Linked DNA regions of Coturnix japonica. The protein of the gene in region 1 binds, or shares a complex with, the protein of each later gene. Links are inferred from orthologs where the notes say so. Each region holds a gene or a part of one and is shown in the gene's direction. Other genes may lie near its edges.

Evidence for each region.
Region 2: the proteins of UBE2F (region 1) and UBA3 are in contact, whole or in part, in a crystal structure (PDB 3FN1), measured with the Homo sapiens proteins. The link is inferred for Coturnix japonica from reciprocal best matches to the Homo sapiens genes UBE2F and UBA3. Residues at the interface, in NP_001265234.1 of Homo sapiens: Thr27, Arg28, Arg29, Val30, Asp34, Lys35, Val38, Lys39, Val41, Ala42, Glu45, Val54, His55, Phe56, Pro57, Asp58, Pro59, Asn60, Leu62; in NP_003959.3 of Homo sapiens: Ala401, Thr403, Thr405, Leu406, Glu407, Gly408, Asn410, Arg411, Thr412, Ser417, Val418, Thr419, Ser420, Ile421, Arg424, Thr425, Gln442, Glu443, Ala445, Ala447, Asp448, Val449, Thr451, Pro452, Gln453, Thr454, Leu456.
Region 3: the proteins of UBE2F (region 1) and DCUN1D3 are in contact, whole or in part, in a crystal structure (PDB 4GBA), measured with the Homo sapiens proteins. The link is inferred for Coturnix japonica from reciprocal best matches to the Homo sapiens genes UBE2F and DCUN1D3. Residues at the interface, in NP_001265234.1 of Homo sapiens: Leu2, Thr3, Leu4, Lys7, Leu8; in NP_775746.1 of Homo sapiens: Glu108, Glu109, Glu112, Pro122, Thr123, Glu124, Met139, Cys140, Glu194, Ile204, Ala207, Leu208.

The regions. Positions count from the first base shown.
Region 1 is NC_029522.1:8,478,943-8,483,194, forward strand, and holds the start of UBE2F (NEDD8-conjugating enzyme UBE2F), read left to right. Parts: upstream 1-1,340; 5' UTR 1,341-1,482; intron 1,483-3,581; 5' UTR 3,582-3,597; coding exon 3,598-3,715; intron 3,716-4,252. UniProt on the Homo sapiens protein: Accepts the ubiquitin-like protein NEDD8 from the UBA3-NAE1 E1 complex and catalyzes its covalent attachment to other proteins. Together with the E3 ubiquitin ligase RNF7/RBX2, specifically neddylates cullin-5 (CUL5).
Region 2 is NC_029527.1:12,736,973-12,740,618, reverse strand, and holds part of UBA3 (NEDD8-activating enzyme E1 catalytic subunit), read left to right. Parts: intron 1-934; coding exon 935-1,015; intron 1,016-3,542; coding exon 3,543-3,625; intron 3,626-3,646. UniProt on the Homo sapiens protein: Catalytic subunit of the dimeric UBA3-NAE1 E1 enzyme. E1 activates NEDD8 by first adenylating its C-terminal glycine residue with ATP, thereafter linking this residue to the side chain of the catalytic cysteine, yielding a NEDD8-UBA3 thioester and free AMP.
Region 3 is NC_029529.1:12,698,563-12,702,208, reverse strand, and holds part of DCUN1D3 (DCN1-like protein 3), read left to right. Parts: intron 1-653; 5' UTR 654-758; coding exon 759-1,189; intron 1,190-1,727; coding exon 1,728-2,211; 3' UTR 2,212-3,646. UniProt on the Homo sapiens protein: Contributes to the neddylation of all cullins by transferring NEDD8 from N-terminally acetylated NEDD8-conjugating E2s enzyme to different cullin C-terminal domain-RBX complexes and may play a role in the cell cycle progression by regulating the SCF ubiquitin E3 ligase complex, after UV damage.

The DNA.
Region 1 (4,252 bases):
TCAAGGTTCCCAAGTCTCCTGGGCTGCCTCTTTCATGGGAATATTCAGTAGAATCAGTAATGTTTTCTTCTTTGCCTCTTTTTTTTCCTTCTCAAAAGGTAATTTTAGTTTAAGTGGTTTAGCTGCCTGTGTCTTTTGAGCAGAACTGATTTTGCTTTCTTGCAATTGTGTGCACAAGTCTCTTAAGGATCTAAAATGTCCAGACAGGCCATGTTCCTCTGTAGAAAACAAACTGACTCCTGAAAGCTATTATTAGGAATACCAGAAGGCCAACATTGGTGGGTGAGTGTGCTAAAAAAGGAAGTTAAACCACCAAAGTGCTGTATTCTCCAGCTCTTTTTCATCTGCTGTTTGGCATCCAAACAAACTTGCTTTTCCATCTCTTGTACTCTGTCTGTTGTGTGGATGGGGAAAGGATTGCAGTTCCACAGATAATGGGGATGGCCTGGAAGCTGTAGACAAACAGGAAGACAAAGAGTGTTCAAGTAGATAAAGCAGCAGTTTTATGTCAAGAAGTAATCATGCTGCAGTCATGCTAAAACACAGTTCTCAAGATAAAACCCTTAAGAAGGGGTCTGATTTTCATTTGCCCCCCAGGATAGCTTGGTTTCAGTTCTGTTAGCATTATCCGATATACTGAGTAGCACCAATGCTGAGAAAATGCCAGTAAAACACAGATCACGTCCTGAGCTCTGCCTGAACCTGCTGCTGTTCCAAGCCCGATGACTGATCTCTAATGTGTATCTGCAGCAGGGACTGTGACTTCATTTTGCAGTAGCTGGAATGTGTTTGGATATAGAGGTATCATAAGAGCACAGAAAAGCTGCATTTAGGGAAGTCACAAGGGGGTTTTAGGATACTGCCTTGTTGTATGAAGTCAGGAACAAATACAAGAACTCTTCCAACTTGCCCACTAAGGAAGAAACTGGTACTTTTTAATAAAAAAAAACAGACTTTGCTGCTTTCTTCCAACAGAGAGATGGATGTGTTAAATAAAAGCTTAAAAACAGACTAAAAAGGAACCATCAAGACTTTAGGTAGGATAGTTTAAATATAAGATGTAAAGGACGTAAGGAACCATCAAGACTTTAGGTAGGATAGTTTAAATATAAGATGTAAAGGACGTAAGGAACCATGAAGACTTTAGGTAGGATAGTTTAAGATGTTGGTTTTGTTTCTTTAGCTTTGGGAACAGTCACTGCTGGGCAATGGCGAATGATGTGTGGAGCTGCTCAGCTTTGTGCTGTGTGGAGCACAACACCAAACATGGCGGACTCTCGAGAGATGATGGGGGGGGCAGGAAGAGCCCTCGCAGCCGGTGGAGGGGAGGGGTCTCCCGCAGGCCCTGCCCACATCCCCGCCCACTTCCATAACGTCGGGCGGGCGGCTGAAGGCGGAGGAGGAGCCGCGCCGCCGCCCCTGCCCCGGGCCAGCCCCGGGATGGTGTTGGCCGCGGGAGCCGGGCCCTGACGCCGCGCTCAGGTAGGTGCGGGCCGCCCCACAACGCCTCTGGGTTTGGGTTCGGTCGCGCTTACAACGCCGGCCTACTAGGCCTCGGCACTCCGGCTGCCTGCCCCCGCCTGAGGGGAGAGAGGCCCGGTAGTACGGGCCCCTGCGTGCTGCAAACAACCCCCTCCCTGGGCTCCGTCAGCGCTGAGCTCGTCCCCTCCCCGTGCTGCTCGGCTTCTCCCTGTGCCGCATTGAAGGCAGCGAGGTGCTCAATGCCCGCTGACACTGGTTCCGTTTGGACGTGACACCCTGCAGCTCACAGGGTTTTCCTCTCTGTTTTCGTTGTTGTTTTGCTCTTAGGAGCCCGTGTCGCTGTTTTCCTGCCTCTTCTCTTTTTCTCCGTTTCGTTAAAACCAGCTGTTGCCTTTCTTTGTAGAAAAACAGGCTCTATTGTCTGCTTATTCATTTCATGCTGTCCCAGAGAAAGAAAGGGGGGAAAAAAACCCGCAACTGAGTCTGTTTCAGATGGGAAACCAGGATTTACATTTACTCCAGATTTTACTGTTTCAGTCTGGATCTGAAATGTAAGACACATACCTGTCATCACTCAGTTATCTGTTATATTCTTCTCGACCCAGAATCACAGAATAGCTTAGGTTGGAAGGGTTCCTAAAGCTCATCTGATTCCAGCCCTCTACCTTGAATACCCAGCTGTCACAGCTGTTGCTTGATTTCACCTCTTCCCTGTGTTGATGCTTTGGCGCTGATGTGCTTTGATATAAATCCCCCAGCTTTCTCACAAACCTCAAGAGCAGTCAGGCTGTTTTTGTAGGTACACCAAGCAGACTGACAGGCTGGGGAAGCTTTTTCTCCCACCTGATTTCCTTGTGGCCGGAACAAACAAAATCAGCAAAAGCTGTTGCTGTTGACCTGCTGATTTCAAGGCATGCTTAGAAAGAAAGAAGCAACAACATACATAGAGCTGGAGCTGACATAAAAGTCTTGTTTCTAGTCTTGTCATATTATGTTGTGCTTAGCTTCAGCTCAGTGGTTCTTTCACTTGACCATTTGCACTGTCAGTATCTCAACTGGTGGAAAGCTGATGTTGCATGAGTGACTGTTTCATGTCTTGGAAGTTGCTGCACTGTACCTGTCCAGTCTTCTGTTCAGACTAGCTCATGTTAAGGCCAAATGCTGATTTCTTACAAGCTTTTTACCTTTATTTTGCTCAATTAGCTTGTATGATTATAGGATAAACATTACTGTTCTACTGGTGATGAGGCCTAAATGGTATTGATCTTGTCAGCAGGACAAGGTTTTGGCCGCATTTCTAATAAGAATGAAACTTCTTATAAGAATGAGCTGCCTTAAAGTAGGAGTAGCGTTAAAATGTTCAGGCAGAGCACTTTGGTTTGAAGAATTTGGCATTCTGTCCAACTCTTGCTGTGACTGATCATCATAGTCCTCTTCTGATGTGGAGGACTGACATAGCAAAAATCTCTCTGTTTCAGTTACCAACTGTCCATGTGTAACTTTGGCTGTGCTGTGAAGGGTGCATTGTGTCACTGTTGAGCAGTTTAAATCTGTTCCCTTTGCTGGGTGCTGCTGTCTGACTCAACACACTTCCCAGTGCTGCAGAGTAGTTCCAGGAGCCCCTCCCCTCCTCTTCCTCTCTTCTTTGGCTGCCAAAAGCAGTTCTGAGTGCTGTCATGGGAGATATAGATGAGGATGGTAGGAACAGGTTGTCTGGCTGGGAACGTGGCAGTGGGATTCTTGCTGCAGTTCTTTATGAGTAGTGATGTCAGACAGCAATACACTGTGTTAGATGGTGCAGTGAGACAAGGTTGTAAACAGTGATGAAAGTCTGACCTTTTGCCAGCAAAAACTGAACTTCCTCCTCACCTGACAGGTTGCAGCTCTATCAGTATTTCCATCTGAAACAAACTCTTGTTCTTCAAACGCTACAGTTAGTCCTTGACTTTAACTGCAGTCAAGTTGTCTGTTTTCTTTGACTGCTAAGAATATGGCCAGTGCTATGTAATGTGGGTCTAACCGTCTCCTATTTGTGTACTTCCCCTTCCGTAGTGCTTTGAGTATTGGCAATTAACTCTGTTCTTATATCTGTGTTCTAGACTGAAGACAGCAGTAATGCTCACTCTGGCAAGCAAGTTGAAGCGGGATGATGGTGTCAGAGGACCCCGTGCATCCAATCCATCTTCTGATTCCACTCGGAGGGTGTCTGTTCGAGATAAATTGCTTGTTAAAGGTGAAAGGAACTTGCATTTAAATTTTGTGGTTTGTACTTTTTAGACCTGTTGGCGGTGATACAATACTAAATGTTTTATAGAATGCTTTCCAGAAGTGTGTTTGAAATTGCTTGTGGCTGACCTCATGGTTTATATGTGGAGTTTATCATAGAACTGTATTATCTTTGAATTGGAAGGAATCCATTTAGTCCAATCCCCCCTACAATGAACAGGGATGCCAACAGCTCTATCAGGTGCTCAGAGCCCCATTTAGCCTGATTCCGTATGTCTTCAGGGACGAGGCTTCCACCACCTCTTTGGGCAAACTGTTCCAGTGCCTCACCGCGCTTTCTGTAAAATATATAACGAACAAAAGAAACCCCAACAAAAAGCACAGTAACAACTTCTTCCTTAAATTCGCTCTAAATCTCCCCACTGTTAGTCTGAAACCATTCCCCCTTGTTCTGTCACATCAGACCCTGCTAAAGAGTCTGTCCCCTTCCTTCTTGCAGCCCCTGGTGCTGAAGCACTGCTCTCAGGTCTTCCTGGAGCCTTCT
Region 2 (3,646 bases), on another chromosome or scaffold:
ACTGTATTGTGTGTTGGAAACTAATGTCAGTGGTTTCATTAATTGACTACCAGCAGTATATGAACAGTAAACCTATGTGAAGACCATGTATTTCAATTGGTGAATGTGATTATATTAGAAGAGTGTGTCATATTCTTTTCATATACTTTTATTTCTAGATTGTAAACTGTCAACTTGCTGGCATGTGTAGAAATGTATTCTATGATACACAGTAATAATTATTCTCCATCTTTGAGTTTCACATGAAAAATAGTGTTAGTCTATTGATTTTTAAACAATTAGGCACAGTAAAGAATTCCTTGTACTTAAGAAATTAAACTTAATATGAGTACTTGGAGAATTGGGATATTCCATAGGGAAAAGCAAAATTTTGCCTCTCTGAATTTTCTTCTCCTTTCATTGCTTTGGTACCTTTTGTTTCAAAGCTTAAAGTTGAATGTGTTTAACCTTTTAAATGTACCATTCCATTATATGCTACTTTGACTATAGAGTCTAATAATGTAGTTAATAGAAAAAAAACTATGTGGCCAGCAATGTTTTCTATCTGTTTATTTTGTATTATATGTAAGCAAGCTGCTTGGGGGAAAAACACTAAACTGAAATGTGTCCTTAAACTGAGTAATAATAAAATGGAGCTTGCTTTTCTTTTTTCACAGCCAAATTAATTCAAAGAGAATACTGATAGCAAACAGACTCGCTTTCCTTTAAGTAGAGATACAGGAATTACATGAACTTAACAACTGATTAAAGTCCAAGTATAATTATTCCTGCAAGCTTAAACTATGTTATTGATCTAACTTATTTTATATGAAGCTTATTGTGCACTGAAAATTTATGATGACACAATTGTAAGGTGTATGAAACAAAGGACAAATGGTACCTTTTCCTATATGATGTATTAATTGTTTGTTTGTTTGTTTTATATTTTCCACAGGCTCTTGAATTTCTTTTAAGCACGTGTAAAGTACTAGTTATTGGAGCAGGAGGGTTAGGATGTGAACTCCTGAAGAACCTGGTAATTACTCAGTTTTCATCCTTTTCTTGTGATCTTAGTTACTCCTTGAAATGAGCTTGAAGGGTGGTAGTGTAAGGTGTACTTATTTTCTTTGAGCTCTCTCAGTGTTTCTCCTGAGGAGCAGTGTGCTGCTGTGTATGAAGTGCAGGAAAATGTTTATTTACAGCCTTAGGTAGGGCCTAATATTGGGTATTTTCCCCACAGAATCACACAGAATCACAGAATGACCCGGGTTGGAGGGGACCTCAAGGATCATGTAGTTCCAACCCCCCTGCCTGGCAGGGCCACCAAACATACACGTTTACTAGATCAGGTTGCCCAGGGCCCCGTCCAACCTGGTCTTGAACACCTCCAAGGACGGGGCATCCACAACCTCCCTGGGCAGCCTGTTCCAGGGCCTAACCACTCTCCTAGTGAAGAACTTCCCCCTAACATCCAACCTAAATCTTCCCTCTTTTAACTTAAAACCATTTCCCCTAGTCCTGCTATTATCAGCCCTTTTGAAGAGTTTACTCCCCTCCTGGGAGTAAGTTCCCTTCAGGTATTGAAAGGCTGCAATGAGGTCACCCCGCAACCTTCTCTTCTCTAGGCTGAACAAACCCAACTCCCTCAGCCTTCCCCCAATTATGAGATCCTGGGAAATGAACTATACAAAGAGTGGCTAATAGAGAGTTTATCATTAGCAGCCAAAGATTAACTTAATTTTTTATGTGTTTGGATTAATGCAAAGAGAGGCTGGAAATGCTGGACCTATGATCTTTAAAAATGAAAGTAATAGAGCCAGTCTTACTGTGCCTGTGGTGACCTCCTCCTCATTGTTGGAATCCAGAGAGTAGTGGCTCTCAGTAAACATGAGCTTCTCTCCAGAGACTCAACAAGAATCTTTAGGACTCTTTCAGGATTGCATCAGTGCTGCTGAATTCAGCCTGTGTAAAAAGCTTCTTTATTCCATCAGACCAACATGCGCTATCCTATATGGAAGTGGCTAAGGAGGAATAGGTGTGAGACCAAAGAAAATACACTGCAGAGTTACTGTACTCTTCTTGACAGCAGTGCTAGCTTGTAATGGATTCTCTACAAGCTCTGAGAAGCAGTTTTTAAGTGTTTAAAAATGCAGCCATGGGATAGTGTGCTATCTGACATTTACCCAATAAGTATGTATGAGTTTAATTTTTCTATTACTCTATTTTCTTCCTCATGGCCTTTCTTATTTGTTGTAATGTATCGCTTACCATCACTTAGTTTGGACTAAGTTTCTGTAATTCACCTGCTTCCTTCAACAGTAAAAACTTCTGTCCTTACAGTTTGTTTACATGGAAAATGTGTGGTTTGATATAGCAAATTGTTACAAAGTACAGTTTCTATATGAGCAATTATGAGTTGATTCATTTTAGTATGGTTTTTATTTACTGCTATTTCACTACACTACAGATTACCTGCAAGCTTGAGGTGCTGGATAAATCATTCACCTCATGTGAAGTCAGGCATTCCAGATAAGTTAACTTAGGGTTTTGAGTTCCAGCACTTGTGAGTAATATTATTCTGGCACCGCTTTGTTACCGTTCTACTTAAGCAGGATTTTGCTTGAAGAGACTGAAAACTACATAGCAGTTTTCTTTCTTTGAAAATGTAGTGCTGGTAAACTAAACTTCTGACTAGAGCTGCTGTATTGTAGGCTTATTGGAGAAGAACAAATTCACTCTGTTGCTAATTATGAGGAAGGACTTGTGTTAAGGGTTTTCATAAATCTGCCATGTATGCCCAGTCTCCACCTTTCCAAAAGATTTTAAGTTATTGTGATTTACTTTTATAATTTTCAGAAAGAAATGCTCATACTTAAGTCTAGATGATGTTCACGTGTACTCAGTGTCTTTGAAACACCAGTAAAAATATCTTAAGGGCTCCAGTGTGTCTGTTCCTCATGTTTTGGGCCCACTCTTCTCTTTGTTAGGCTCTTCTGATCTGCTTTGATAATACTGGGCAAAAACTGAACTGTGATTTGTGAACTAAATGAGTGTTCAGCACTAAAGATACGCAATATGACATACAGAAATTCTTACTGCTTTTCTTCCAGAGGCTACTTTCTGTTCATTTGTTTAATCAGTTTCACAGTGCAGCATTTAATGCAGTTATTACACATGGGATGTAGAAAAAGCATCAAACAAGAAGTTTGAAGTTTTTTATGTGACAAGATTGAGTCTTTATAGAAAGAAAAAAAAAAGGGGGGTGGGGGGGGAGTAGAGCATGGGACTCAATTTTTTATGTCACTTCAGAACACTGCAAAGCGTTTCCCTTCTCTAAAGCCAGTGCTTTGACAACTGAAATGTTGCTAATTCCATCTGTCCAAATACCAGCGTTAGCAACCCAGCATTTCAACAAAGAGAGCTGACATGCTGATCTGCACAGGGAACAAAGAACACCTACATTTGTTCCTCCAAAGGTTGCCTTTTTGGCATTCAGAATGAATCTTGCAGCACTGTAAGCTTTTCATTGCTTATGTAGTGAGGTTGCCTATCTCTTTTCACAGGCACTGTCTGGTTTTAGGCAGATCCATGTAATTGACATGGATACTATAGATGTGTCCAACCTTAACCGACAGTTTCTGTTTCGGTAAGTGTTATTTTCATTGTT
Region 3 (3,646 bases), on another chromosome or scaffold:
GTGCTGTCTCTCTTGTCTCACTGTTAAGCTGTATAACCATGTTACAGTAACTTTGCTATTAAGTACTGATTCATTTGTGAATTGGCACTTTGCTGCCAGCCCAGCCTGACCTTTGGGTCAGTTACACAGGGAAATTGTTTTGGCCTTTAAATTTTGATTTTACCAGCTGAACTGGGGTTACTGCTACTTCTGTGTGTGCGTGCCCCTGCTCTGGGTCAGGTCATCTTGTTGCTGTCCCTCTCTTTCCCCCACCCAGTGCTTTGTTTCACCATTTTGTGCTCTGTATTTTAAATGTGAGTGCACACACACACATATTTTTTTAAATTTCCTTTAAAACATTTCTGTGTTAGAGTAGTCTGTCACGATGAAGTTTGCACATGAATCAACCTCTTTGTAACCTATGTTTCCATAAGAATTTTAGGAATTTCCTTTATTAAGACCTGTTAATATACAGCAGCAACTGAGCGAGGTGAAGCAGCCTGGAATTGCCTGAAGTTTCCAGCATACACTGACTTTCTGCACACTGTTCCTTTTCAACAGGCGAAACAGAAGTATCCTGAAGCCCATCTCCTTCCAGTGAATGTTATCCCACGTGTAGTGCTTGCAATGTTCTTTGTGGAGAAGTGCTCTTTCACTCTGAAACTGTTTTCCAGGTTGGCAGACAGCCCCCAGCGGCATGGAGCAGTGTGCTGAGGGGTGGCCGCGGGGCTGTGGCACGGCAAGGAGGCTGCTCTGAATGAAGCCAGGCTCCCTGCACCATGGGCCAGTGTGTCACCAAGTGCAAGAATCCTTCGTCTACCCTCGGCAGCAAAAACGGGGAAAGGGAAACGGGCAGCAAGTCGCATAGCAAGAGGAGTGCTGTGCACAAAGATGACCACACTTCGGCATGTGGGAAGTCCTCGGGAGATATACTCGTGAATGGGACAAAGAAAGCGGATGCTGCTGTGGAGTCTGGTCCACCTTCAGTGTTTTCTGGGGATACAAAGAAAGACTCTGTCTCCAGCGCAGAAGAATCGTCCCTCCAAAAGATTGGAGAGTTATTTAGGAGGTACAAGGATGAGCGGGAAGATGCCATACTGGAGGAAGGAATGGAACGATTTTGCAGTGACCTCTGTGTTGATCCCACTGAATTTAAAGTGCTAGTTCTGGCTTGGAAATTCCAGGCTGCTACTATGTGCAAATTTACAAGGTTAGTTCCCGTGGAGTTTTAAATATTTTTGTATGTTAAACTATCCTGTCATCTGTATCAGAGAGAGCCTCATTCACTTCACGTAGGTATTTCTTCTAACTGTTGCGCTTTGGTGCAGTTCATTCCTGCGGCTGCAGAAGGTAAGTTCAGTGTTGTCCTCTCCTCCTGCTCCCTCACGGTAGGTTTCAGAACTGAAAATGTTTCTGGACATCACGCTACTAATGATGAACAGCATGGAGACATTCTGTAGACATCAGTTTGTTCTTGGCTCACAAAACCAGCTTTTCTGTATCAGCTCTGCCTTAAGGTTAAGATTTGACACAGCAGATAACTTTTGCTGTGAGAGTCCTTAGTAATTGCTGCCAGCTCTGTTATTGTTTTGTGAAAGAGTGTAAAGCAGGCCCAACTGATGTTCGTTCCCAACTGATGTTACGCATAATGACTTCCTCCAAGACCAGTCCTGATGAAGCTTAGAGAGGTGGGAAGTGCTCGGTGCATGAGAAGTGTGCACACTAATTTTTCTTCTCTCTTGTAATAGGAAGGAGTTTTTTGAAGGCTGTAAAGCAATAAATGCGGACAGCATCGATGGCATTTGTGCACGGTTCCCCAGCCTCTTACATGAAGCCAAGCAGGAAGATAAATTCAAGGATCTCTACCGCTTCACCTTTCAGTTTGGCCTGGACTCTGAGGAAGGACAGAGGTCACTGCATCGGGAAATAGCCATTGCCCTTTGGAAATTAGTCTTCACCCAAAACAAGCCCCCCATTTTGGACCAGTGGTTGCACTTCCTAGTTGAGAACCCCTCAGGAATCAAGGGAATCTCCCGGGACACGTGGAACATGTTTCTAAATTTTACTCAGGTGATCGGACCAGACCTTAGTAACTACAGCGAAGACGAGGCCTGGCCGAGTCTCTTCGATACCTTTGTGGAGTGGGAAATGGAGCGGAGGAAAAAGGAAGAGGAAACCAAATGTATTATGTCTTCGGACACAGGGGGTCTGTGTAGGGAAGAACAGACTTAACAGCATTTAGGTGGCAGTGATGAAAGCAACCTGTTGCCCTTCGTGAGATGTAAACTCTGGATGTTTCTGGAGGTTACCGAGGCTCCAGATGTTTGTTTTTTTTCTACTTTACACCTTTTTCTGCCTTGTATTCGAAAGGGCTCTAAAATGCTGTATCATGTTTTAGGCACTTTCTTAACTTTGGTTACTCCTTTTACTCTTACCCGGAAATATTTTACCCCGGCTACAAGTTAAGCGTTTTTGTTAAGACTTGAGATTAGTATAAGTAAGTCTGATATTTCTTGCACAATGTAGATCCTTTTAGTTAGGTTAAATTAACATTGCTAAATTATACAGTGCCAGATTAAGTCTTTCATACTACGTCTGTCAGGGCAGGTCTGTACTGTGTGTAGTGCTGTTTACATTGTTGAAAATTTAGGCTGTAATGATTTTAAGGTTTTATACCAAGAATATAGCAGTGTTAACTTGAAATGCATTAATCCCCTCCTAATAAGGCTCTTAAGAAACAAACAACAGCAACAAATCCAATGACATAAGCAACAGCTTTTTGTAGTGTGGCTCGTTGCCACTTGAAGGTAACTCCTCGTGACCGAGTCCAAATCATTCCTTTTTATTTTCAGTTTCAAACTGAATGTTGGGACTGTTTTATAAAGTTACTGTACCTGTCAGTCAACTGAGTGGTAGATGAGGATTTGTATCGAAATCTCTGACACAACACAGAATAAAAGAGCAGTGCTACCTCAGTTTTATTGAAAGTGGACTTCTTGGTGGACTTCCATTTTCTCTGGAAGTTTTATTTTTGTGGTTACAGGAGAATATTTTTACTTGACTAAAAGAACCAAAGGTTCTGCTTCATAAGTTTTTTAAACATTGGCAGAAGCAACACACAAAGCCTAAGTCTTCAAGGAAAACTGCGGTATAATTCTGCTTTAATTTGTTTGATTTATACCCGAAGCATTATCTTACTTGTCTGGCAAGCACAGTACTTCTATGTGAGGAACCAAGTTTTCTAAAGCTATGCTTAATTGCTAAATTGCAGTTAATACTCCACACTTTCTGGAGCAACAATATCGGCATCTGATGACAAAGTGAATTCGTAATGTGTTCTTAATGACAACAGTGTAGATAAGTCATTTTTAGACTGATTTGATAATATTTGGATAGGAGTAAATTTATTATTTTACAATGCCTGTATTGGGACAATTTGCCTGTTGAAACTGTTGTGACTTAAAGGGAATTTTATTAACACTGGTTGAAGCTTTTTTTGGTTATTGATGTTACCTTTTTTAATTGTAATATGTCAACTTTTTTACACGTTTTGGTAAAAAGGGATAATTGCCAAGGCTTCCCGTGAAGCCCAGCATTGAACTCGTGAAGCGTTCATCACACACCTTTTGTTTTCAGAGCTGTACTTCAGGACTGTAAAGTGGCTTCA